7 linked regions of the Cricetulus griseus genome follow. The protein of the gene in region 5 interacts with the protein of the main gene of each other region in a pairwise test. Links are inferred from orthologs where the notes say so. Each region holds a gene or a part of one and is shown on either strand. Other genes may lie near its edges. The genes, in order: Cwf19l2, Gpatch4, Fam133a, Kat5, Cep70, Taf1d and Zbtb16.

Evidence for each region.
Region 1: the proteins of Cep70 (region 5) and Cwf19l2 interact in binary tests that used the Homo sapiens proteins (3 or more experiments, as listed by UniProt). The link is inferred for Cricetulus griseus from reciprocal best matches to the Homo sapiens genes CEP70 and CWF19L2.
Region 2: the proteins of Cep70 (region 5) and Gpatch4 interact in binary tests that used the Homo sapiens proteins (3 or more experiments, as listed by UniProt). The two-hybrid records come from large-scale screens. The link is inferred for Cricetulus griseus from reciprocal best matches to the Homo sapiens genes CEP70 and GPATCH4.
Region 3: the proteins of Cep70 (region 5) and Fam133a interact in binary tests that used the Homo sapiens proteins (3 or more experiments, as listed by UniProt). The two-hybrid records come from large-scale screens. The link is inferred for Cricetulus griseus from reciprocal best matches to the Homo sapiens genes CEP70 and FAM133A.
Region 4: the proteins of Cep70 (region 5) and Kat5 interact in binary tests that used the Homo sapiens proteins (3 or more experiments, as listed by UniProt). The link is inferred for Cricetulus griseus from reciprocal best matches to the Homo sapiens genes CEP70 and KAT5.
Region 6: the proteins of Cep70 (region 5) and Taf1d interact in binary tests that used the Homo sapiens proteins (3 or more experiments, as listed by UniProt). The link is inferred for Cricetulus griseus from reciprocal best matches to the Homo sapiens genes CEP70 and TAF1D.
Region 7: the proteins of Cep70 (region 5) and Zbtb16 interact in binary tests that used the Homo sapiens proteins (3 or more experiments, as listed by UniProt). The two-hybrid records come from large-scale screens. The link is inferred for Cricetulus griseus from reciprocal best matches to the Homo sapiens genes CEP70 and ZBTB16.

Annotation. Positions count from the first base shown.
Region 1 is NC_048597.1:118,084,324-118,087,823, reverse strand, and holds part of Cwf19l2 (CWF19-like protein 2), read right to left. Parts: intron 1,600-3,500; coding exon 1,489-1,599; intron 809-1,488; coding exon 689-808; intron 1-688.
Region 2 is NW_023276806.1:66,417,203-66,420,702, forward strand, and holds part of Gpatch4 (G patch domain-containing protein 4), read right to left. Parts: intron 1,952-3,500; exon of another isoform or gene 1,655-1,951; coding exon 1,569-1,654; intron 1,275-1,568; exon of another isoform or gene 1,215-1,274; coding exon 1,164-1,214; exon of another isoform or gene 866-1,163; coding exon 91-865; 3' UTR 1-90.
Region 3 is NC_048604.1:52,732,083-52,735,582, reverse strand, and holds part of Fam133a (protein FAM133A), read left to right. Parts: intron 1-2,781; 5' UTR 2,782-2,851; coding exon 2,852-3,500.
Region 4 is NC_048596.1:53,753,703-53,756,465, reverse strand, and holds the end of Kat5 (histone acetyltransferase KAT5), read right to left. Parts: intron 1,467-2,763; coding exon 1,307-1,466; intron 1,200-1,306; coding exon 1,118-1,199; intron 1,031-1,117; coding exon 896-1,030; 3' UTR 501-895; downstream 1-500. Other genes in the region: Rnaseh2c (ribonuclease H2 subunit C), read left to right, coding at 1-19. UniProt on the Homo sapiens protein: Catalytic subunit of the NuA4 histone acetyltransferase complex, a multiprotein complex involved in transcriptional activation of select genes principally by acetylation of nucleosomal histones H2A and H4.
Region 5 is NC_048597.1:207,684,353-207,688,304, reverse strand, and holds the start of Cep70 (centrosomal protein of 70 kDa), read right to left. Parts: upstream 2,801-3,952; 5' UTR 2,704-2,800; intron 1,106-2,703; 5' UTR 1,013-1,105; coding exon 1,004-1,012; intron 1-1,003.
Region 6 is NC_048597.1:128,814,837-128,818,830, forward strand, and holds the start of Taf1d (TATA box-binding protein-associated factor RNA polymerase I subunit D), read left to right. Parts: upstream 1-1,194; 5' UTR 1,195-1,484; intron 1,485-2,648; 5' UTR 2,649-2,658; coding exon 2,659-2,729; intron 2,730-3,130; coding exon 3,131-3,506; intron 3,507-3,994. UniProt on the Homo sapiens protein: Component of the transcription factor SL1/TIF-IB complex, which is involved in the assembly of the PIC (preinitiation complex) during RNA polymerase I-dependent transcription.
Region 7 is NC_048597.1:160,607,938-160,612,140, forward strand, and holds the start of Zbtb16 (zinc finger and BTB domain-containing protein 16), read right to left. Parts: upstream 2,801-4,203; 5' UTR 2,792-2,800; coding exon 1,524-2,791; intron 1-1,523. UniProt on the Homo sapiens protein: Acts as a transcriptional repressor. Transcriptional repression may be mediated through recruitment of histone deacetylases to target promoters. May play a role in myeloid maturation and in the development and/or maintenance of other differentiated tissues.

The sequences.
Region 1 (3,500 bases), about 90 Mb from region 5:
GCTCAGTTGATGGCTCAACTGTAATTAATGGCAATCATGTAACAGACAATAACTGCTTAACTACATTTACCTAGATTACCACATCTAGTATGTCTTTTAAAAGATATATTTTATGTGCCCGTGTCTGGGTGTGCATATGTGAACATGTGTACAAGTGCCTGCCCAAACCAGAAGTACTGGCTCTCCTTAAATTGGGATTAGAGACAGCAACGATTTACCCACTGTGGGTTCTGGGAATTAAAGGGTCCTATGGAAGAGCAGTATATGCTCTTAACTACTGACCCATCTTTCCAGTCTAAATCTAATACACTTCTCAAAAAAAATCCGTATTTATTTTTATTTTATGTGTACAAGTAATTTGTCTGTATGTCTATGTGCTACATGTGTGCAGTGCCCACAGAGGCCTAAAAAGGCCAATAAATCTCTAGAACTGGAGTTACAGCTGCCATGTGGGTACTAAAAACCCAATTTGAGTACTCTAACAGAGCAGCCAATATTCTTACCGGCTGAAACATCTCTCAACCCCTAGTATACATTTAAACAGCTTCCCTATAAGAAATTAACTTTTTAAAAAATTGTTTCACATTCCTCAGTTATCATACACCACTAAAAAATGTACTTTACAAATAAAAATGATATTACAAATAAGGCAAATTAAAAAATGAAAGCACTGAAATTGTTCTCTTACCTGCTCTAGTGCTTGGGCTTTTTCCTGCTCTGTCTTCCTTAAAGTCTCCTTTTCAGCTTTGATTGATGATGAGGACACAGTTTTAACAGACATAAAATCAACAGTCATCCATTCATCCCGCTGTTTAAAAGAATGAAGCCATTTCAATCTGTACTTAAGACCTACTTAATAGCAGACTGCAGGCACTAGCCAAGAGCAAACACTATGTGGCTAGGTACTCAACGAGTTTCTCATTTTTGCTGCACCTTATTCTCTGCCTTATAAAAGTGGAGTGAAGAACTCACCTTTCAAGTTTGTTTGGAGTAAACAAAATAAGTATAAAAGGTAGCCAACATAGGGTCTGGTGCACACAATGAAATGTTAGCTACTGTTCACCTTTTTTCCTGTTTCTGTGGCTAAGTGGGCAAACTCTATTCTTTCTTATGCATATGAATTTATCTGCTACTCAACTGTAAGCATTGATGAACAAATTGTGACATAAGGGAACAGAAAGAAAAGTTGCAACTGAACTAGATGCATACAAGAGGTTCAGACTTCTGTATTAGGTAAACCCAACTAAAAAGGAAATGCCAACAACCATAGTAAAGAGAGTTCTGAAGGGTGACAGCACAGATGAGCATCCAGATGATGGGATTCCAGATGATGAGCTTCCAGAGCAGGAGAAGGCCAGTCTGAATACCAGCATTCAGCAATTCATAAACTACTGCTAAAGTATAATCCTCCTGAAGAAGTTATAGTCATAAGTTTAATACCAATCCATTCTTAGAAGCCAATTTGCTCTGAATCAGCTGGGTGCTCACCTGCATAACATGCCTGTCACATTCTTCTTCTGGCTTTTCGTCTTTCACTTTCCAGGTCTTTTCTTTGCCAAGTGTCTGGAAGGGAACAGCCTCAACCCACTCTTCAGAGCTCTAGAACATTTAGCATATACATGACATTCACAATTTGCATACTTATATATAAAATACTGAATTAAGTGGACATAATTCAGCTAATTAGAAGAGATTCTTTCATTCTTTTTCCCCTTCAAGAATAATACTGGAAAATCTCAAGAAATACCATGAAAACCCTACTTTAGCTTGAGCCCAAAAGAGACAGCCAAATTCATTCTTCCTCTCATGAGTTATATCAAAAAATAAAATGAAAAGCTAGGAAGGAAAGTGATATAGAAATTAATACTTTGCATTGGTATGGATTTTGGTTTACTGATACAAATTTAAGGTCAATTTTGTTACCTGTATATTTCTACTCCGGGTTAAGTATTGTGTTTATACAGCTCTTTTAAAAATGTAATGTATAATTAAATACAGATTATAGATAGTCACCTATATAGTCATGTTAGTTTTCTACATATACAGAGATATATATGCAATGGATAGATATTCTTCAAACCTTTCAAAGAACTATAGGTTATGACATTTAAAATGGTTTATTAGGGTTTTTCATGACAAGGAGACACAACACCAATTACATCAGAGAGGAGGATGGAGTGTGCCTTCAATATGGCAGGAATACCCATTTGGACAAGAAACTGCTCTTGTCTGGACTGCTTGAAAACATACTGTCCAAACTGGACAAGCAGGTTGTAAAGAAAAGTGACTGCTGAACTTGCCACAGGACAGGATGGTCCTTCAAGATTCCCGCTTCACAGAAAAGTCTACCAGACACTGGGCCTATAGGGTGAAGAGGGACGCCCCAACGTTACAGAGGAACTTTGGGTGACTGTCCAGGCAGCAAGATGTCTCCATCAGTTCTAGAGTTTATATATTATCCTTCTGAGGTCTTAGATGGAGTTGAAAGTTATGATTATTGTTTTCATTAGTTATGATAAAAGTTACATATTAAAGTTTAGACTCACAAAGATAGGATAGATGGTAGAATATTTTTTTTAATTTTGCCAAATGTTAATGGACTAAATATTGTTAACAATAGTTCTTATTTGATAACTGTTTTGTTATATATGATTTTACTATGTTAAAGTTAAAACCTTCCTTTTTATTTAGACAGAAAGGAGATGAGGGGGATGTCCTGTATGCTATGAATATAGGTTTCTCTGATTGGTTGATGAATCAATGCTGATTGGCCAGTAGCCAGGCAGGAAGTACAGGCAGGGCTACCAGACTAGGAGAATGCTGGGAAGTGGAAGGTAGAGAAGGCTTCAGAGAGAAGCCATGTAGCTACAGGAAGATAGGACACCGGGCATTCTCTGGTAAGCCAAGACCACAATGGAGATACACAGATTAATAGAAATGGGTTAATAATTAAGAGAGCCCTAACCAATAAGAAGCCCGAGCCAATGGCCAAACAGTTTATAGTTAATATAAGTCTCAGTGTGTTTGTGTCCAACCAGCTGCAGGACTAGGCAGATTAGAAACTGTCTACAGGAAAGCACCATGGCAAGGCTCAATTTCTACCAACATCCAAATGAACACATATATTTATCTCAGTAGCACCAGAGAAATAACATGCATGTAAAGGATTTTGCTATTTGCTCTAAGTGTCAAATTTGGGGGGGGGGGGAGCTCCTAGATCTAAAATTGCAAAGATCTCTAATAACATCTAGGCTGGTTACCTTGATCTATCACTTATCACCTTATTCTCTTGTAAGAGTCTCTGACTGAACGTGGGTGGCCTCAGAAGCCAGCAAGCCCCAGAAAACCTCCTCTCTCTGCTTCTGCACAGTGCTTGGTTATTGGCGTGTAAAGCCACACCAGCTTTTTACTTGGGTGCTAGTGACTGAGACTCACACCCTCATGCCTACACAGCAAACACTTTTACCAACTCAGCCAAGGCCCTCTAAGAAAATTACATT
Region 2 (3,500 bases), on a different chromosome or scaffold from region 5:
GCTCCTGAACTTCTGCAGAGGGGTGTGAAGAAACCTTGCCCAAACCCAGACCACTCTGAAAAGTCATCAGCAGACCTACACTGTAGACCGTCAGTCCCTCTTCCGCTTCTTCTTTTTGGCTCTCTGGTCAGTGTTGATGCCAGCTCTCTCCTTGGGATGTGGCTGACTTCTCTCACCTTCATTCTCTACTTCCCAAGTCCTGTCATCATCGTCTTTATTGCTCACATCCAAGACTACCTCTTCAAGACACTGCTGTCTTTTCTTCTTGCCTCTTCTGACCTTTCTCTCTGCTTTTGTTAGGCCATTCTTCCCTTCATCTTGGGTGTCCAAGTCATCCCCACTCTGCTGAGACTTCTTACTGCTTCTCCATGGATCTGGGTCTGCTCCACTGTCCACTGCCTTTGGCCTGCCTGTCATATCTCTGCCTCTTTCATCACAGACTTCCATCTTCCCCTCTTCTTCATGGTGCCGCCTCCTCTTTTTCTTCCTTTTCCTAGAAGACTGGTCAGATTGCTCTGTGCTCTGTTCTCCAGGCCCACTTGCTCCTTCAGCCTCTTCCTCCCCACTTCCTACAGCCATTTCCTCTCTCTGGTCTTTCCGCCTCCTTTTCTTCTTCTCCCTTTTCTTGAAGCTCTGAGGGTCAGTGTGTTCTAGGAGCTCCTCACTAACATTCTTTTCGGTTGTTGCAGTCTCTTCCTCCTCTTTCTGCTTCCTCTTCTTTTTCTTTTTGTGGGAGGGCTCCTTGTCAGTGTGTGGTTGAGAGGTGCCTACATCCTTTGAACCTTTGAGCCGAGCCAGGAAGGCCTGCTCTTGGGCTTCCAGGCGAGCAAGCTTGGCCTTCATTGTGATTCCAATCCGGGCAGCCCTAAGAGATGGGTTCAAGTCAGCAAGGACATTACATAGAAAGTTGGGAACAGAGGGAGGGAAGCTGCCTGACTTCAAACACAAATGTGTCAACAACAGGAATTATTTGCCTGGAAGAAAAATATTTGAGAGGTGACGCAAGCTATTCTTTTTTTTTTTTGCTTTTTTTTTTTTTTTTTTTATTAGTTCTAGTTAGGGAACAAGCTTATTTCAAGTCCCTTCTCCCTCTCCCTCCCGACGCAAGCTATTCTAAAGCATAGGCAGAAAGATGGGAGACCCAGAAGGCAACCACAACTTACTTGTGTGCTGTTCGCCCCTCACAAGCTTTGAGTAGCATTTCATCAGTCAGACTGTAAGGGTAGATGACAAGTCAAACAGATGGTGAGAAGACTTGATTTTTTTTTTTTTTTTCTGTCTTAAAAAATGTACATCTCCACTATTTCTTGTCCAAAACCTGGCACTTTTTGAAGGACTAAGAATACAAAGATTAGAGAAGGCAACTGGGATTGTCATGTAAATCAATCTTGTTTCTAATTCAAATAAAAAAATAAGTAAAAAAAAAAAAAAGAACACAAAGATTAGCACAATCTAATTAATTCTACAACCCCCGCCCCCATCCCTGAAGAGCATTAGGTTTATTCATCCATTCTCTTAAGATCCCAAAGCATCTCCTCCCACATCCTCAGCACAAAATAAAGTCTCACATCTTTGGAGGCGTGGGCTCATGGCTGTCATCATCACTGCCGCTCTCTCTGTCAGGCTTCTCTTCACCTGAGGTCAGTGTGGCTGTCTGGAGGAAAAGGATCATGGAGATGGATAAAGCCAGCCCAACACCATTACCAACCCTTTCAGAAGCCCCTAGGAACTCACGGCCGAAGCGGTGAATCTGACAGCCCTCACCACTGTTCCCTTCAGAGTCATGCAGCCTGTATATTTCAATTTGGACAGTTACTGGGAAGTGCAGCAGCCAGGGCTTCTCTGGCTCACAGCAGGCTGACTGAAGAACAACCAGGGAAAAGTGTTCTTCACTTTTAGGTTTTCACAGTGGAGTAGGTGCCAGTAACTGACAATAGAGACAGCACTCCTATTGCTGGTATTTTTGTTTAACTAGATTAACAGAACCTATTATGGGCCATGTAGCTCAGGATAGAGTAGAATGGCAATGAAATGGGTCCAGGTGCGGAGACAGCTCACCTGGTAACAACACTTAATGTGCAAGCATGAGGACCTAGTGCAGATCCCCAGCACCCACATAAATGTCAGGCAGGCATGGCTACCCACCTGTAATCCCTGGGGTCCCTGGAGCAAGCTAGCTAGGTGCTAAACTATACAGATTGGCAAGCGGATTCAAGTAAGAGATCTTAGTTCAGTATATAAGGTAGAGATCAAAAAAAGATACCTAATGTCAACCTCTGGCCTCTATATGCATACACATGTATGAGCACCTGCACACAAAAGTGCTCATATATGTGAACACGTATACATGCGCGTGCACACGTGTACACGTACACGTACACACACACACACACACAGAATTCGATGGGTCAAGTTTCCAGTCCAGATGTAATTACATGGGCAGTTAGGATGAACGTTGCCTGTCCCATAGATAACTCAGGCCAGGGTTTGGGCAGTGGTTTCTAGAAGGTGCTATGTATAATCTCAATCTGAAAGTCAAGAAATGTTAGCAGGTAAATGGCAAAGGCAGAGAAAGGGTAGGTGGGAGAACACAGCTTCTAGAAGAAGAAACAGAGCTGCTTCTGCCCCAGAGAGAACAGGTGGGAGTAAGACAAGAAGCATAAAGGGCCATGCAAGTCAATCTCATTAAATAGGGAGGAGCCAGACAGTGGTATTGCACACTTTTAAACCCAGCACTCCAGAGGCAGAGGCAGGCGGATCTCTGAGTTTGAGGCCAGCTTGGTCTACAGAGTGAGTTCCAGGGCAACCAGGGAGAATCTGTCTTGAAAAACAATAACAAACAAAAAGGATCATGATACAATTTGTGTTTTGGAAAGAACCCTATGGATGTTTTGTAGAACAGAGTCAGCTGACTATGGTGCAGAATGAGACCAGAGGCAGAGTATCTTAGAGGCAAAGACTGCCTGAACTAAAATAGTAAATGCCAACAGATGCAGAAACTGGGAAGGGTTGCTAGATAACTTGGGAAGCGCCGAGCAGAGTCTATGCTCGCTAACTTCTGGCTTTCTATAGCTATAGTGAAAAAGCTGGGAAGCCTGGGTTCTATTCTTTCTGTCTTTACTAGCCAGCTGTGGGTTCTTCAGTAATCCATTTTCTACACTTTGGGGCACACATGTAAAATAAAGATGGATTAAGTAACCAACCTTCAGGGTTCTTCTGTCTTCTAAATCTTTTTAAATTAGACACCAACACTTCCACCCCAGCAGCTCTTAACTAAATGATGGCTCTCCCTCTACTGTTCAGTGCTGCCCCGCAGCGGATGGCAGGGTCCATGGAACCTTAATACCTCAATTCTGGAGGGGGGCATGGGCCTTAGTCTAAGCACAGCGAGGTTGGACATGGGATCTGGGTATGCTAGGATATCCTGGGAACTAGTTCATCACACAAGGCAATCGATCAGGACCCAGGGGAAATAGGGGAGCAGTAAAGAGCTGAACCTC
Region 3 (3,500 bases), on a different chromosome or scaffold from region 5:
AAGAAAGAAGATGACAGAAAACCTGATAGTATCTGGATATAAGAGAATGGAATATAGAACACAGTAAATCAAACACAGGAGGGCACCACCTTGTCACTGACATGTCATAAAGCTCATATTGTGATAGGTAGCTATTATAGGTGGAATTAACAGGTCAGAAGTGAAGATAGTGACTAACAGAAAAATCTATCATGTGTCTGATCATCTTTATCTTCTGCTTAAAATGTTGCACTTATTTCTTATCAAGTGTAAGACAAAGATTTTTAAAGTCAGATTTTTAAAAGGGTCCCCAAGCTTCTAACTGCCTATGAAGCTGCACCTCCCCCATACTAACATCTCTTTAGGCTATGCCATCAGTAACTGCATGACATGCTTTGTAATTGCAGTGTTTTCTAACATACTGTTTCCCATTCTTTTGTTTTGTTTTGTTTTGTTTTGTTTTGCTTTGTCGTTTTGAGACAGTTTCTCTGTGTAGCCTTGGAGCCTTTCCTTGATCTGTAGGCCAGGCTAGCCTCTAACTCACAGAGATCCACCTGCCTCTGTCTCCTAAGTGCTGGTATTAAAGGCATGTGCCACCACCGCCTGGCTTACTGTTTCCCCTCCTTGAAATGTCCTTCATTACTTCATTTCCAAGGTGAATTTGTTTATTCTCCAGATTTCTGTATAAAAATGACTAGCTCAGATTGATTATGATCCCAGCACTTGAGAGGCAGCAGCAGGCAGATTTCTGTGAATTTCAAACTAACCTGTTTAACATAGGGATTTCCAGGTCTCCAAGGACAACATAATACTGTAACAAAATAGATAAATAAATAAGACTACATTTGGGGATTTCCTTCTGAATGTTTCTTTTACATAGCCAATCCATGTATCAATTATTGTATTTATAAATGACCAAATATTTTGAGTATTTAGTATGAGCCAAATTATGTTATATATTAGGAACACCATGAAAAATAGTATAATTCAAACATGGCCTTTACCCCTCTTGGCCTTATGTTTAGAAGTCGACAAACATGCAGAAGCAAAATGACTATCAGTTTAATATGTCCTATAAATTAAGAAATAAGTTCTAACACGTTGAAAAAGAGGATGAAGGTTAGACAGGAGCAAGTTACTTCATTATAAGTTTGAGTTATATAAAATTGTTGGTGTTAAACATTGTGTCTTATCACATTAGGGACATTAAATAATGTATTCTACAGATTTTATTTCTGAGGAACTGATACTTGAACTTAAACCAGAAGAATTTTAATTATAATGCTCAAGTTTAGAAATTGTCATGTTTCATGAACCAAGAAAATTGTGAACAAGAGTTAGTAACCAAATTAAAATAAGAGTTAAATTCAAGGTATTTCAAATAATACATTTATAGTATTTTCCTTGCGTTTTGATAAATTGTTAAGCTTTTAAATTTTTTTCATGATCTCTCAGATTACTGTGGGCCTGTAATAGAAGACAGGAAGTAGAAATAGGGGAAATAATTTAAAGGTAGTCATGAAGGTTAAATAAAATGTGTTATGTGCATAGGGTTTGAAAATAAAGCAGCTTTGATTTAAGTTCTGTTTGTATTTTAATTTTATCTCTGTTTCTTCATACAAGTTATAGTCAGATTTTCTAAGTGTTAGTTTATCTGTGAAATGGGTATAATAATATGCTCAATTTCATAGGCTTAGGCTCAGGATTTAATGAGATAATCCATTGCAGTGATTAACAAAGTCTTTGGTTATAAATATTTAATAAATGATAGAGAGTGAAATCAAATGGGAAGTAATAGTGGCATGGACAAAGCCAATAACAATGTATTTGTGAAAAAGGAATAGAATGATAATTATTATAAAGGTTTAAACAGCCCAGTCTAGTAATGGTTTAGATATGAGAGATGAGAAAGAACGATTTTCCAAATATTACATCTGGGGTTCTGTCAAAAGAAATGGGGGTAGATTTTTCTGTACTTACCTAGGTTAAAGAATATCTATTTGCCTGGTAGATTTTAACTGTAAATTTTCCTGTCTTTACCATGTAAGGCAGGAATGAAAGAAAGGAAAATGATATGTAAGATTCTTAGTAAAATAAAATGGTTATTAAATACTACTGGTCTCTGGCAGACTCTTACATGAGATCAATAAAATACATTTAACTTTATAGCAATTCATAGTATATTGTGTGTACTAAGCAAAAAAGTAAATTGATGTATAGATTTTTCCTAAAATGCAACAGTTTTGAAATTTTCTATTAAGTATAACATTTTAATACTTAAGAGAATCTCATACAGTGTAATTTGATCATATTTACCCCTGCTTATCCCTTAGTTTCTTCCAGATCCAATCTTACATCTCCCACACCCAAATTTGAGTATTCTTTTTTTAAAATAATCTTCTGAATTTTTGTTTGTGCTACTCATGTACTCTCATGGGTATGGAGTCATTCACTAGACCATGGCCATCCTACCAGGAGCCACTCCCTTAAAGACCAGCTGTCTCTCCCTACAATCTGTCAACTGTTAATAGCTCCTCTGTTAGAGGTAGAGATTGGAGTCCTCCCATCTCTGTGCAAGAATGGTGACTTCTTAATGTTGTCCAGGAAACAACAGCTACTATGACTTCATGAGGGCAGCAGTCTTATCATGTTCAGAAAACACTGGTTTGCTCTGTTCCTGCTCTAACTTTCATTTATCCAATCTTCCCCCTCCTCTTCAGTGATGGTTATTAATGAAATTAAACTTATATATTATTGTGTTTTAAAGGTGTTCAATTATTTTTTGATCTGCTTCTTTCACAGAATGAAGACTCCTTGTTAAACTAGCAGTAACCTTGGTACTGGTAGTCTTCTCTGACAACCACCTGGCACCATGGGGAAACGTGATAACCGAGTAGCATATATGAATCCTATAGCAATGGCTAGATGGAGGGGTGCAAGTCAATCCGCAGGCCCAACTATACAAGATTATCTGAATCGACCAAGGCCCACCTGGGAAGAAGTAAAGAAACAATTAGAAAATAAAAAGAAAGGATCTAAGGCATTGGCTGAATTTGAAGAAAAAATGAATGAAAATTGGAAGAAAGAGCTTGAGAAAAGCAGAGAGAAAATATTAGGTGGAAATGTCAATTCATCCAAAAGAAAAGAGAGAAAGAAAAAGAAAAAGAAGAAATCTTGTCGGTACACATCCTCTTCATCAAGCTCTGATTCATCCAGCAGTTCTTCAGATTCTGAGGATGAGCGCAAGAAACAAGGAAAAAGGAGAAAGAAAAAGAAGAACCGTTCCCACAAGTCGTCAGATAGCTCCAGCTGTGAATCAGAATTGCCAAGCAAGGAGCTTCCTCCAAAGAAGAAAAAGGCAAAGGATGAAACAGATAAAGAAAAATATACCAAAAGCTACAGCAAGAAAAGAAAGAAAGCTTCTGAGGAAAAGCCATCCTCTTCAGAATCCTCATTTGAATCAGATTATGAAGAAGAGGTGCAGGCAAAAAAGAAAAGAAAATATGATGATCAAGAAAGAG
Region 4 (2,763 bases), on a different chromosome or scaffold from region 5:
GCCCAGCCTCGCTGCAGCGGTGAGTACATACTTGAGCCCTTTCCCTCCTAGACTCCGTCCGACCTCCCACCGGGTTTGAATCGTCCCTAGTTACTTGGGGTTTTTAGGGCAGTAAGCACCGTGGATGGGGACCATGACGCTGGAAGACCAGATTAAAGAGTGGTGGGAGGCACTCTTCACTTTATCATCTGGCCTTAGAAGGGGCTAGCACCCTAAGCAGCTGGGTCCCCACACAACTGAATCCTATTAGAAAGTTACATAGTGGAAGTGACTCCTGTTGCAGATTCACGCACAGGTGCCTGAGGACTGAGAGCCACATCATGAAAATGAAAGTCACAGATCCCTTCACACCAGTAAGCCAGCAATAAGTTCACTTTGAAGCCACTGTTTCTATCCCAATAAATGAGCTCTTCACAACACCTGTGAGTCTGTGGGCACCTTAGCACCCTTGAAGCCGGCATGGCACGGACACCCAGTCTGGCAAGAACTTTTGATATCTCTGCCTATATAAACAATTTATTGCTGGGGGCAAGAGGGGCCAGAATTTTGCAACCAGCACCCACCCCACCCTCCAGCTCCTCCTTTACAAAAGAAATGTTTATAATCACCAGTCCTCTGTACAGAGTGCTCCCACCCGTCTCCATGTATATAGCTGCCTGGATCCCTCTGGTCCCTGTGTTCAGAGCAGACCTGGGCCGATGATAAGCCATCTATCCTTGGAGTTGGCTTAGCCCTGAGCTTGCCTTGGTACTGGCCAGTAGTTGGCCCCTCCTAGGCCTCTCCTTTTGGAGCTGTCCTCAGCCCTGTCTCCCTTGGTGTGCCTCTTGGAAGGGTAGGATAGCCTGTCAGCCCCAGTTGTGCCAGCTCTCTTTGTGTTGCAATGGGCAGTGCCTGGTCACCACTTTCCTCTCTTGCTCCAGTCTTTGGGAGTGAAGTGCAGACACTTGGAGTCAATTCGAAGGAGCCGTTTGAGCATAGCCCGCTCATGCCCATCCACGATGTCCTCTGACAGAGTGAGGATATATTGGCCCTAGGGAAGAAACAGACCCAGCATGTGGTCAGCCCACAGGTCTGTCATCTGTACCCCATTCACCTACCCCTCAGTGTGCCTCCTAACCTTGTAGTAATTGATGAGATTGAGATACTGCAGTGTGGAGATGACATCTTCTTTCTTGATACTAGTGATTTCACTGATCTCACTGTGGGAGGGCAAAAGTTAGGTTCTCTGAGAGTAGTCATCTGTCCCCAGGAGCCCCAGGAACAGACAGGCCATACCATACACCCCCAGGTGGGCATTCTGGCTCACTTGATGGTAATCTGTGGCCTCTCCCCGCTCTCTGACTTCAGTCCCATCAGGATCTCCAAGATGGTCTGGGACCAGTAACTTCGATAGGATAGGAGGCCAAGATCTGACAGGGGCTTCTCAGGTGTCCCTGTCTTCCCTTCTACTTTAGAGAGTTCATAGCCTAAAGCAGTGGAGCACAAGAGTCTGAGTAAGCATCACAGGTATACACAACAATAAGTAAGAGCAGAAACTGCAAAGTTACGCTTCCTGGTTTTCTGTCTCTCTTGGTAATGGATGAGTAGCTTCCCTGCCTGCTAAGTGGCTAGGGGAGCTGAAGACACCTAAAAAAGCAGCTTTGACTGGGAACTTGCCAGCTAGTCAAAGTTAATGAGATGGAAATGCTAGATTTTCCTTTGCCATCCTAGCCTGTGTCTGAGGACATTGGGAGGATGGTGAGGGAACCCTTTGTCATTCCCTAGCTGTGATCCTGGGAATCAGCTGTTCTTAGTGCCAGGATGGGCAGGGTGGTTGAGGATGTAACAGAAAAGTATAGAAGTGTTTCTTCAGAGCCAGAGAATTCACCTCGAAGTAATAGCCCTTTCTCTCTTATTTATGTTGACTACTAGGCACGGCCAGGCAGTTCATGAGACCTTTAAGTCCTGTAGATAGGGCCCCAGAGATGTCCCTATTAGTTTGGAGAAACCCTTCCTTACCCTCAGCTACACAGTCTTCAAAATGGTCCCTGGCTACATCTCTGTTGGCTAGTCTCACCCTCTTTGCTCAATCACCTTTGGACAAAATGGGCCAGAGAGGCAGCCAGAAAGAAAAGAGATCCAACTCTCCTGGATCGACTTGTGTACAGTCCCTCTAAGACAGTTCTGAGTTTCTGATCTGTTGATGGCCTCCCTGCCCTTTTATCTGTCTAATGCTTTTCTTGTGTCATGCTGGACAGAAGTGTTATCTTAGTGATCTGTCCTCTGAGTTTTCTTTCACCTGCTCTCCCAGGCTGAGTTTCCAGAGAATATGATTCCCAACTTGGAACCACTCAACTAATAAAATATTCCAAACAGTTCATGACTTTGAACAAGTAAAGCATCTGTGTTTCACCAGCAAAAAAAGTTAACGCTTCTTCCCCGATTCCTAGGTCAGTGAATACTTAAGTGAATGGAATGGGGATGGATGGGCTAACACTACAAAACAGAATGTATTGCAGAGTTAAGAGCCCATGTGAGCCAGGTGTTGGTGGCACTCTACAAAGCCACACAGAGAAACCCGGTCTTGAAAAATTTAAAAAAAAAAAAAGAGTCCATGTGAGAAGGAAGGAGCCAAAGTTCTCCTGGGCATTAAAAGACTAGCCTGACAAAGGAACGGGTACAAGTTCATCTTTCAGTGGGTTAAACAGCCTTTGGACATTAATGCCTGGAAGGCTCAGGTAACACCTGGTGATAATCCAGAACCTGTTACAGTGCACACCCAGA
Region 5 (3,952 bases):
CTGCGTTCATCCTCCAAATCTACATAAAACTAGTGTGGTACACACCTATAATCCAAGGACTTGGGATGGGGAGGCAGGAGAAGCGGAACTTCAAAGACATTCTTAAATACCGAAGTTAAAGGAATTACATGTAGGGCCACACTCTCTTAGACAAAACCACCCCTATGTTCTTAGGTATATCCTATTTTTTCCTGAGTGCCTTTTTCCTTCTTAATCCTCATGCTTACACTCTATATTTACTGGGCATAGTGCCACACTTTTAATCCAAACCCTTAGGAGGCAGAAAAGAGGATCTCTGTGAGTTTAAGGCCTTCCTGGTCCACATAGTTAGTTCCAGGACAACTAGGGTTATATATGAGAATTGTTCAAGAGCACAGGTTAAAGAGTCATAGCTTAAGAGCTGTACCTGTAGCTGCTCAGGGTTGGCATTCTAAGGCTTTGAAAGTGTCGAGCCCTAAGCCTCTAGCCTCAAGACTTAGAGTCCAGGGCTCAAACTCAAGGCTATCAACACCAAGGAACTGCTTCTCCCTATCCAAGATTTCTATATAAGCTCCCAGCCAGCCACTTGAGACAGGTTTTTCAAATCATAACAGCAAAAAATGTTTAATGCAATACTAACCAAAAGAAAACTAGCATATAACCAAACTGCCTGGGGATTCTGCCACACAACCAGGGGATACTAATTCCTCTGTGCTTTGATTTCTTCATAGAAGAGCAGGAGGAGGAAAAGTACTTAGCTCACAAAAGTCCTGCAAAGATTGGAAGAATAAATACTCGAAGAGCATGGAGTATGCTAGCCTCACAGCATGACAGAGTCTCTATCTATTGAACTCATTGGACTTCCACTTTCTTATTGAGCTTTACTTACTGAGAATTATCAGGTAGTCAAAAGGAAAAAAAAAACATGTAAACGTATCTATCATCTAACACAATATCCAGTAAATTTTGTTTGCTATCTCCCTAAATTGGAAAAAAATAGAATCATCCATTATATCATACATACCTCAGTCATAGTGATTCCTGTTGCAGTTTACACCTGGTCATCCAATCTGATCTCAATAAAATGATCACCCAATGAGTCTCATGTCCAAAACTGGATCTTGATCTAGGTTTCAAAAAGATACAAGCCAAAGCCTTAAAATGTTCAGCCTGTTCACTAAAAATGATCTTGAGTTATAACAAGGCAGGAATCTATGGTGCAGATAACCATGGAATCAAAGCCTAAAAAAAACTGCAGCAATGCCGCCCGTTGGTGATGCATGCCTTTAATCCCAGCACTCAGGAGGCAGAGGCAGGCGGGTCTCTGTGAGTTCGAGGCCAGCCTGGTCTCCAGAGCGAGTGCCAGGATAGGCTCCAAAGCTACACAGAGAAACTCTGTCTCGAAGACAAAAATAAACGAAAAAAAAAAAAAAAAACTGCAGCAACAAGAATGGTCCAAAGCTCTCCATCAAAGAGCCTCCCCTTTTCTTTTTCTCTTATCCTTCCTCCCATTGCTTTGTTGAAACGTGCTGGATATCCAAATATACCATTCTGATTTGTGGCTTCAAGGGTGGTTATTTTTATTTGCACGTGTATTGAGAACACTCAAGTAAAACCAGGCAGAACGATACTCGCCTGCACCTGTGATCAACCTTCCCTCCAGTATTGAGTTACTGTTCTGCAAGTAAAAGGGGAGTTAGGCCTACAGATCATCATCATTCCATCCCAGATGACAAGAAAGGCCAGAATTGACCTGTCCTGGGCTGAAGAAAAAACTGCCAATAAAACGCCTTCCTACCCTGCCTCATCAACCAACACAGAAAGCAGCAAAAACTCTCATCAAATTCCTTTCCCAAGGGAAGCTGGGGGAGCAGGTGTATTGGAAAATTAAGACAAAAAGTCCACGCAACACAGAAGGCTGAAACCAACGTCTGCAGCGCTAAAAGGTACGGTTACAAACAGCTCAGTTGGTATAGGCAAGAAAGCTTGAGACACATCCCCTGAATCCACGGAAACGGGGAATTCTGTAATTCCAGCACTCCCGTGGGCAGATAGAAGGAGGATACTGCAGCTCTCCTCGCTAGTCCGAGTAGGATGCAGAAAAACAAAAGGCCTTCTCCCAAACAAGGTGGAAGGAAGGCAAGGACCTACACTTGAGGTTGTCCTCTGTTCTCTCTGGTTCATAGTAATGGGAACCTTGATTGGGCTTTATGGTATTTTTCACATTATAATCAACGTGGACTCTACATAAAGGCGGAGTTTCCCCGAATTTGCAATGTGTCTGACAGGAGAGAGAAAGAATCAATCCTCTACCCTTCCTCCCGAGATCTCGCACTGCGCTCCAAACCTCTGTCACCTGAGAGCTGGAGGAAAATCAGCCCCCAGGACCTACAACAAACCCCAAACCCAGCCGGTGCCACGTACGACTCTAAGCTCCAGTTTCCTGCCTCCTCTACCAGGTCGCTCCCCTTATTCACTCGAATAGGAGCCGGAGCTCGGGGGCTGAGTGGGAAGCGAGCTGCACAAAGTGTCAGGCGTAGGGTGGTCCACGCTCGCCCCCGCACGCGCGGTTCCCAGCTCGCACCTTAGCAGCCGGGGCGACTCCGCCCTGGAGGCCCTGGTCGGTCAGTGTAGACCTTCGGGAACCCCCAAAGAGGACACCTTCGGGCGTGCTCTTGAGAAGGGACCCCCGCGACGCCCTCGGGGACCCCAAGAGCCACTCACCTCAACCGCAGCAGCCTGCAGCTTGCAGCGCGCCCGCCCCTCCGCCTGAGCCCCGCCCCCTCGACCGTTGGCGCGGCCAGGCTGACCAATCGAGCCGAAGCAGTCGATGGCCTCCCCGCGGGGCGGGAGACCCATCCGGGAGCGCCAGGGAGGCGGGGTCCGCGCCGCGCTCTATTATTGGCCCCGCCCACGGAGGCGGGGCTTCCCACCCACACAGACTTGCGGGCGCAGGTCCTTCGTAGGCACTCTGACACCCCCGGGACGCCGGGTCGGGTAGACGCTCTGTCACCAACGTGGAGTCTCTTTGATCCGCGAGAAGCTAGAAATACACAGTGCGGTCGCAAGTGAAAGTGAGGCTCGGGCTGCCTCGCCATCACTGGATGGTTGCCCTCACTACAGCTCCTCCCAAGCCAGATCTGCGAGCTTTACCGGGAACTGTCTGCACGCTCTCCAGACCTGGCTAAGAAACTATATATAATGTGTATATAAATATACATATTTATATATATATTATATATTTATATATATTATATATGGACCACCATCAGCGTTTCTTGATGACATTTCATCTTCTCCTCAAACATTGTTAAATGTCTATTTACATGCCCGACTGAAAATGTGAGGTGGACTCCTGTTAGACACTGATAAGCGTGTTTAGTAAAGCGTTTGCAGCTACGGAGAGCAAAGGACGATTACGTGAGAGGGCACAGCCGTTTGAACGGCTGAAAAGCTTTGAAAACTTGATCTGCGGGCCTCCAGGTTAATTAAATCAGAATCTCTAGAGTGGGGGCCCACGTGTCCAGAGTCTGTAAGATTCCTCCAAGTGATTCTAATGTATAGCTAAGAGGGAGAAGTGCTCACTGAGATGTAATTAAGACCGGTTCTGAACCTGGCGGGGAACAGGAACTGGGGATATAATTCAGTTGGTAGAATGCCTAGCATGCACGAAGCCTTTGGGTTTGAGCCTCAACACCGCCTGAGACAGGCGTGGTGGCACATGCTTGTCATCCAAGTATTTAGGAGGGAGAGGCAGGAGATCAGGAGTACATACATAGCAAAAGTCAAGGCCACTGGAGCTACATGAGGCCTTGTCTCAAAGAAAAAGTAAAACTAGGGTCCCTCTCCACTAATAGAGGGTTAAGAAATCCAAAATATTTAAGAGAAAATCCACCTTCCATAAACCTGAATGAAGACCTCAAGTTTCTGGGATCTACCGTAGTTGTGCTTGCACCTTGTAGCCACGTGGTGT
Region 6 (3,994 bases), about 79 Mb from region 5:
CTCACTCTGTAGACCAGATTGGCCTTGACTCATTGATATCTGCCTGCCTCTGCCTCCCAAGTGCTGGGATTAAAGGCCTAGAAGCTCATTAAGGTTTTTTTATTTTTTTATTTTTGGTTTTTTGAGACAGGGTTTCTCTGTGTAGCTTGTGCTGGCCTCCAACTCACAGAGATTCGCCTGCCTCTGCCTCCAGAGTGTTAGGATAAAGAGTGAGGTGAACCTTGGCAGGTTTCATGGCGGGCGAGGTTGACCGAGGCCAAGGGACAAACATTCCAGGCAGACAGCTTAAATGAAGTTTTATTAGGAAGAGGCAGGCCAGCATAATGCCTGATCCTTACACCCAGTGCTGGGATTAAGGGCATGAGTCACCACCGCCTGGCAGTACACAACATAAAGATGGTAAAACTTGTATTAATAATTCTAAATTTTCCTTACTTATGGGGAAAACATAGTCTAGGCTGGCCTGGCAATCCTCCTTCAGACTCTCCAGTTCTGCGATTTGCCACAGTTCTCAGCTATTTGTCACTTTCGTTTTGAACAGGACCCTGCAATTTAAGTTTGCACTGGTCCTGAATGTGACAGTCTGAGATGCCTGTCTTAGAGCTTACAGCGAATGCACTGGCTGCTTGCAAGTACAGCAAGACCTTACTTTTAAGGCGTGTCCAATCATAAATGATAACAACTGTTGACTAAGGGCAAGCAGATCTGCTGGCTTGCTTGTCATACAATACAAAGGTGCAGCATGGAAAATAACTCAAAGCAGCTCACTACTGAAAAGAAAGTACTGTAGGGCTAAAAACTGTTTAGCCCTACACTGTTGAGTCAACTCAGGATCTGAAGGAGGAAGCCCATGCCTGCTGGAAGCTAACTCCTGAAGGGTGGGGTGCCCAAAGCACCTGGCACCCTTCCTCTGAGGGGGAACTCCGCACACAGTGGGCTCGGCCCCACAACATGCGGACGCTCACCTGACCCGCAGTGTCTTCACGCCTGCAGGAATGCCTTCTTCCCTTCACCTACCCAAGTTCAACGTCCTGCTCCCTTCCGCCAGCTCAAAGCCTAGGGGCGAGCCCGGTACCGCCTCTCGCGGAGGCCCCGCCCACTCCACAGTCCACGCACATAGCCACGCCTAGCACGTAGCCGCGCTCTCGTACCCACCCGCCGCTAAGAGCTCACGCGAGATCTCGGCCTGCCCTAGTCGGCTGCTGCGAGCTGGAACGTTCTTTTGGTCGCGGTGGAGGAGGGAGACGGGTGTGTTTGCGTTGGGCGCTCGGGTCTGGCGCGATCGGTCGGTGCGGGACTCGGAGACCGCGCGCGGGCCCGGGCTCTTTGGGCGGCTGTCCGCGCGCAGTCGGCGCTGTTGTCGGGTGAGGCGCAGCGGGCCACGCGTGGCTCCCGGTCGCTATCGGTCGCTGCCGGAAGGTTTTAGAGTGTCCCGTCGGGGCATTGTGCTGGTGCTGCCTTCCTAGGTCGAGAAGACCGCACAGGTAGGACTGATTTCTAGATAGGTTCCTCGTGTGTACTTGGCCATTACCCTTAGAATTTTCTCCGCTCTATCGTTGGTGCAAACGGGCCAAGTATGTTACGTTGCAATTTTGATGGGCTAATACTAAAAAACAATGGGGAATGGAGAAATGGCTCTACAGCTAAGAGCACCAGCTGCTCTATCAGGGGACGTGGGTTCAATTCCTAGCAGCCACGTGGTAGTTCACAACCATTTGTAATGGGCTCTGGTTCCTATTTCTGGTATGGGTGAAACCAATGCACTATCCGTAAAATAAGTCCCCTTTTAAAGGAAAAAAGTTAATAACCCGGGAGGTGGTGGTGCATTTCTTTAATTACAGCACTCAGGAGGAAGGCGGATCTTGAGTTCGAGGCCCCGCCTGCCTCTACCTCCTGGGGTTAAAGGCGCGCACCACCACCTGGCCAGTTGCGGCCCCTTTAAAGCTGCCTTGTGGGTGCTGGGAATTTAATCTGTCCACTCAAGAGCAGTCAGTATTCTTAAAGCTAAGCCATCTCTTCAGCTGACTCACCCTAGAGGTTCTATTGTTGGGATTACAGGCCCATTGGCCATTCGGGAAATTGAGGCATACACACTGAGTGGCTAAAAATTCAGCCTTCCTAGGGTAAACATCCGAATTAATGCTGTTTCACTGTGTGGCTGGCTGGTAGTAAAGCCACTCAGGTACTTTTGTTAAGTAGAATTAGAAAACACTGATTTGGAAAGTGGTCTCTCCTTTGCTTTCACTTGTAGATTAGAATTGAATGTGTGGGTATCCAGGAAGCCAGAAACATGCCATGTTGAAGTTGTGAGCTACCCAATGTGAGTGCTGGGAACTGAACTGTGGAAGGTTACACTTTAACTGCTGTGCTCCTCACGTGGATATTTTTTTTTTTAAGACAAGGTTTTTCTATATTGAATTAGAGCCTGTCCTGAAACTAACCTGGAACTCACAGGTCTGCCTGCCTCTGCCTCCCAAATGGCTGGGATTAAAGGCGTGCACCACCAACAGCTGGCTCACTTGGATGTTTTTAAAGATCTAAAGTGGACTATCCTTAGGTCGATTTTACCTAAAGTCACATGGTGGTATGGTGTATGTTGAACTTTTCATTAGAATGCTAGGTGCATCACACTGAAATTGTAATTGCAGAGATCGAGTAATGGCTCAATCAGAAGTGACTTCTGTTGACTGCATGACACCTGATAGAGCTGCAGACATTGGACATCAAAGGTAAGGCAGCTTTTGTGACTAAACACCCTAGAGTTGAGTCTAACTGTTCAGATTGACAGGTCTCAGTAGGTGGCCTCATTCAAAGATGATCCTGCCTATTTCTCCCAAGAGCTGGAATTAAAGGCTTATCACCACACCCATTTGAAAATGTTGGGTATGATTTTGGGGGAGCTGGCTTTGGAAGAAATGTACACTTAAATTTTTAATGTCTTCTCTTATGTGACTTATGAGTGAGTGCTTTGCCTACAGTCAGTATCATGTGTTCAGAAGAGGGTGTTGAACTCCATGAAACTTGAGTTACTAATGACCATGCTGCCTGAGGGTACAGCCTTGCCACTCGTGAATTGGATTGTTTCTAGTAACGACTCAGTGATGCAGTTTATTTTATTTTATTTTTTTAGCGATGACTCATCTGATAGCTTATTTAAAACACAGTACGTTCTTTCACCTACACGAAAGCAAAGAAACCCTACGACAAAACGTGTCACTTTACCTGCAAATGTTGACACTGACACATCAAGTGACTCCTCTATAGAACCAAGGCTTTTGACTTTAAAGGCTATTTTTGAAAGATTTAAGAAAAAGAAACGGAAAAAAAGGAAATACAAGCCAAAATTAAGACCAAGAGGAAGACCACCTGGAATAAAAAATGCTAGAAACCCTAGAAGGTCACAGATAGGTGTGAAGCAAATTAAAAACAAAGGAGCTGTGTTTCCATTCTTAGAATCTGAAAATGGAAGAAAACCCTTACCTTGGAAGAAAATTTTAACATATGAGGTGAGTCATTCTCATGTAAGTGAATACACTAGGAAATTGGAATGATTGTTGCCCCCATCTTTTCTTCCTGGTTTTTCCAGACATAGTTTCTCTGGGTTTGGGTGTTGTTGGCCATTTTTAATTTGAGGTCCACCTGGGACACATTTTGTTACTTTGACAATAAACAATGTGTTCTGTGTAAAGTCTGCTCAGGTTCCAGTGTTTCTGAGTGCACTGTTTTTAGTGTGTATACAAACTTAGAGAATAATGGTCCAAGTCTGTAAATGTACAAAATACCCTCATCTTAGTCTCTAAACTACTCTCAAGCATATCTTACCCAACTTTAAATTAAGTAGCCCATCAAACCAGTCATTTCAAAGTAAGCAGATGTTATTTCGTTCTTTTTATTTTTTATGTCATTTACTTTTTTGGGGGGGTGTTTCGATACAGGGTTTTCTGTGTAGCTTTGGAGCCTATCCTGGCACTCCTTTGGAGACCAGGGTGGCCTC
Region 7 (4,203 bases), about 47 Mb from region 5:
CATATCCGTAGTTGTTATTTTATGTATCACTGGAAAAAAATGGCTACTTTTAGCTGAGTGCCACTTTCCATAGAGTTCAGCTCAGAGCAGCCAATCAGGCAGCTTCGGAGCAAGCTGCGGCTAGAGATGATTATATCTGTTTCCCCCATACACACACACCTCAGGTCCCCTAAATGAGCAACAGGAATGGAAGAAGAGGAGAGTGCTTGCAAAAGTGGAAAATCCACCCAAGATCAGCAAAACAGCCAGCCAGAAGTTGTGCAAAAGGTTAGCATCCATGACAACAGAAAACCAGATTTGGGGGCCAGGGATGAGGGATGTAAATGGTGGGCTTATAGTTTATGGCAAACAGAAAAGACAAACCCACTACTGACTCCCTCTCTGATGAGCACTGGTCAATGTTCCCCCACCTGTTCTTCAGGAGGGGTCCTCTTCTTCACTGGATGGCTACAAGGAACCACAATGTATGACAGGTTAAGTCTTAGTTTGAATCTTTCTGTCTCGCTAAGACTCCTGTGTATTAGTAAAAACAAACAAACAAAAAAACCAAATCCTCTACCAGCCAGCGGGGCAATGGTGGCTCATGCCTTTAATCCTACCACTTGGGAAGCAGAGGGCTAGCCCTGTCTACAGATAAGAGTTACAGGACAGCCAAGACTGTTACACAGAGAAGCCCTGTCTGGGGAAAACCAAAACAACAACAACAAAAACACTACCTACCTCTTAAGAATATTGTAACAAATGTTCAATTCCAGGTAAAGCACTGGTCCTGAACCAAGCATGTCACAAAAACTCAAAGGGGGGTTATTTTGCAGAGATTAAAGCAGAAGCCCAAAGGCAGTGAAGACTAGCCCTTGTGATTCAGAGAGGGGGATAAGAACAGATTATACAGGCTGTAAGACCAAAACTCTTATATTCTCCTTCTCCTTGAAATTAACTAGAACCTTCTCTACCTCACATTGTGTCTGCCAGGACAGATGTTTGGGACTTAGGGTATGCTTAGGACTTAAACAACATACAACCCATACTACTGTCCTGGGCTGAAGACAATGGCCTGCCATTAAACAATCTTTGACCAGTGGGGATAGGAAAAGCAAGCGTGATAACATAGCTTGATCCCTGGCCACAGGAGACCCTCAGCCTGAACCCCCACTTCCTGCCCTTTTTCTTGCCACTTTTATTAAACAGTTAGTCACTCTGGGCAAAACAAAAGCATAGATCAAACCACAAGAAAACCAGATGGAAGCCCAAAAAGCAAAACAGACAGGAGGGCTGAGATGCTGGGCCCATGAGTTCCCTCATGCTTTAGATAGGAACCATTTCTTCTTACTGAACTCTGAAAATAACTGTGTGACCTCCTATACCTTAATATGGGAAAGAATGGTTTGTTTTTGTTTTTGTTTTGTTTGCTTTTCAAGGAGCACAGACGAGTCAGGTCCCCAGATTCAGGATGGGACAGGCACAAAGGACTGCCATCAGAGCCGGAAGATGGGCATGGTCGCAAGGTTGGGGCAGGGGATTACCTGTGCTGCTCTACGGCTTCGTTGTCCGGAAGCTCGACCCCACACACGCTGCACTGCTCCCCCAGAGGACGGCTCTCGGCCTTCATGCCTACAGCCAGCTCACCCAGCTTGCTGAACAGCTCCCTCTGGATGAAGCCCTGAGGCAGCAGGCCCCCATAGGTGCTGAAGTCCATGGAGACAGCCAGGGCAGGTTGCACATGGAGACCAGAGGTCACTGAAGATGGCATGCTTAACACAGCATCGGCCTTGTGGTTGGGCAATACTGAGTATATGCCCAAATGCTTCTCCACTGGGGGTACCAGGAGCTCCTGTCGCCCAGGGGGTCCCTGACCAGCTTCAACAGGAGGTGACAGCTGCTCACCACTCTCTTCTCGCCCATAATGAAGCTCTCTGGCACTGGTGATGACGCTGCTTCTAGTGGGAGTACCAGGCCCCTCTTTGCTCCTTTCTTCAAGCTTGTCCCCCATCCCTCCTGAGATGCTGGACTCAGCTGCCCCAGGGCTGTCCTGGCCAGGGACTTCATCTACCTGCATCATCTCTGTCTTCACCTCAGCCACCCCGGAGTGCCGCCCACCCCCGACCAATGTGGGCTCTTCAGGCCCTGCAGGTGGCTGAAGAGTTCCTTGCAGGAGAGACTGCCCTATGGTCATCAAACTGTCCACTGCTGCCTTGGTAGGACTCATGGCTGAAAGACCAAAAGAGGTGGAGACCGAAGGGCTCTGGTCCACCATGGGCCCAGGGAGGCTCTGTCCAGCCACGCTGGCATACCCGCTCTCCTCGCTGGAATGCTTCGAGATGAAGATGTTCTTGAGGTATCGAGCCTTGCGGTCCTCTTCTTCTTCGCCCCCACCATCGGCCATGGTGGCCTCTGTGTCGTTGTCATCAGATGCCTGGATGGTTTCCAGGATCTTCAGGCACTGCTCCTCCAGGTACTCAATTTCCAGGATCTCAGCTGCATACAGCAGGTCATCCAGGTCCTCTGCCTTGGCTTGCAGTGTGGCCGTGTAGGCATACTCCAGAATCTGCTGGAAGGTCTTTGGGGAGAGGAAGTCCAGAGTATAGTGCTGGCTGTTTCGGTGGAAGAGAATCTCAAACATCTTGCTGGTGCAGGCCAGCACCGTCCGGTGGGCATGGAACTCCTGGCTGTCCACCATGATGACCACATCGCACAAAGTCCCGGCCAGTCGCATCTGATTGGCCTTGCACAGCAGCCCCGTAGGGTGGCTAGGGTTCTGCAGCTGGATCATACCCATCTTTGTCAGATCCATAATGCTCCCCTTGGCTCAGGCATGGGGCTCTCTTTCCTTCTTTGCTCTACGTGGTGCAGCAGGCTAGGCTTCCCAGGCTAGTGGAGGGGACTAGAGAAAGGAAGAAGAGAAGAGTTAAAAGAACCGACCAAGTGACAACATCCCCTAAAAATAAGAATTCAAACATCACAGTATGCCCCCACTCTGGCAAGAGGCTCTTGAGGGTTTTAATGGAAGGGGCTTGGGCTTCCAAGAAATCTATGAATCAGCCTCAACAACAAGCCCAGGGTTCTGAGAGTAAAAAGGAGGTTATGCTTGCCCATATGTTTAATCAACTGCTCTGTAGGTAGCATCTGCTGGATGAAATGAGATGAAGATACAAGTGAGTCCTAGGCATTCTTTAAGCCCGAGAATAGAGACTGCCCATGTAAGACCAATGTCCAGCATGAGGCTCACAAACATACTTAAAATGAACGAGTTTTAACCCCTTCTAAAGTCAACTTAAGCATCCAGCTTTACTGTCAACCTGCTATAAGTAAACCCTCATCTTCAATGTTTTTCTAGTTCTGCTTCACTGAGATGGCCTTAAGAGACAAGACAATCTTGCCGTGGCTGCTAGATGTGGTGGTAGCCTGACATCTACGAGCAATGGGGCTGTCCTCTCCTAGCCATGCCCTCTCTCCATCATCCTGTGCCTTCTATGGCCTCTGTCCTCCCACTCTGTAGTCAGGGCTGAAAAGGATTGGCAGACCCATTCTTAGGCTGTGACAAGGGCACATACATACAATTCACATTCTAGCCTGTCATTTCTACCTACAAGTTCCTCAAAGTTACTGTGTATGCCCAAGGTGTGTGTGTGTGTGTGTGTGTGTGTGTGTGTGTGTGTGTGTGTGTACTAGCATAACTAGTATTAACATGCCAGTATACAATTATACAAGATGTTACAGCCTCCTCTCTTCCCTCCTGCCCACAAGTGCCCAATGGACAGAATGCTCTAAAACAAGAAAGCAGAGAGACACCATGGGAGGGTGGGTATGTTCCCAACAGCCTTGAGGGCTCATGCCAGACTGGATGCCTCCCAGGTGTTGGCAAGTCCAGTGACAAGGAGAAAAACTGACATGGGACATGGCTCTAGAAGTGACTTTGGCACCAGCATCTCTGGTTGAGTTACATCCAGAAGGTGGGGAAGATGGGGCTGGAACACAAAGGCCTCTCCCAGAGCGTGTTCTGGATCACTCAGTGGCTCCCAATTCTGAACAGCTACTGGGACATGGACAGAAAAATCTCACAGCCTCTGCCTAACTGTGGTCAACATCTCACACAGCCAATGGCCTGGGGAGAGGGTGGAGAGAGGTAGGCTTCTCAGCCACTCTTCATGGAGCTCTCCTCCACCCTCAATAGGAGTCTTAAGGACTGACTCTTCAGCACAAAAC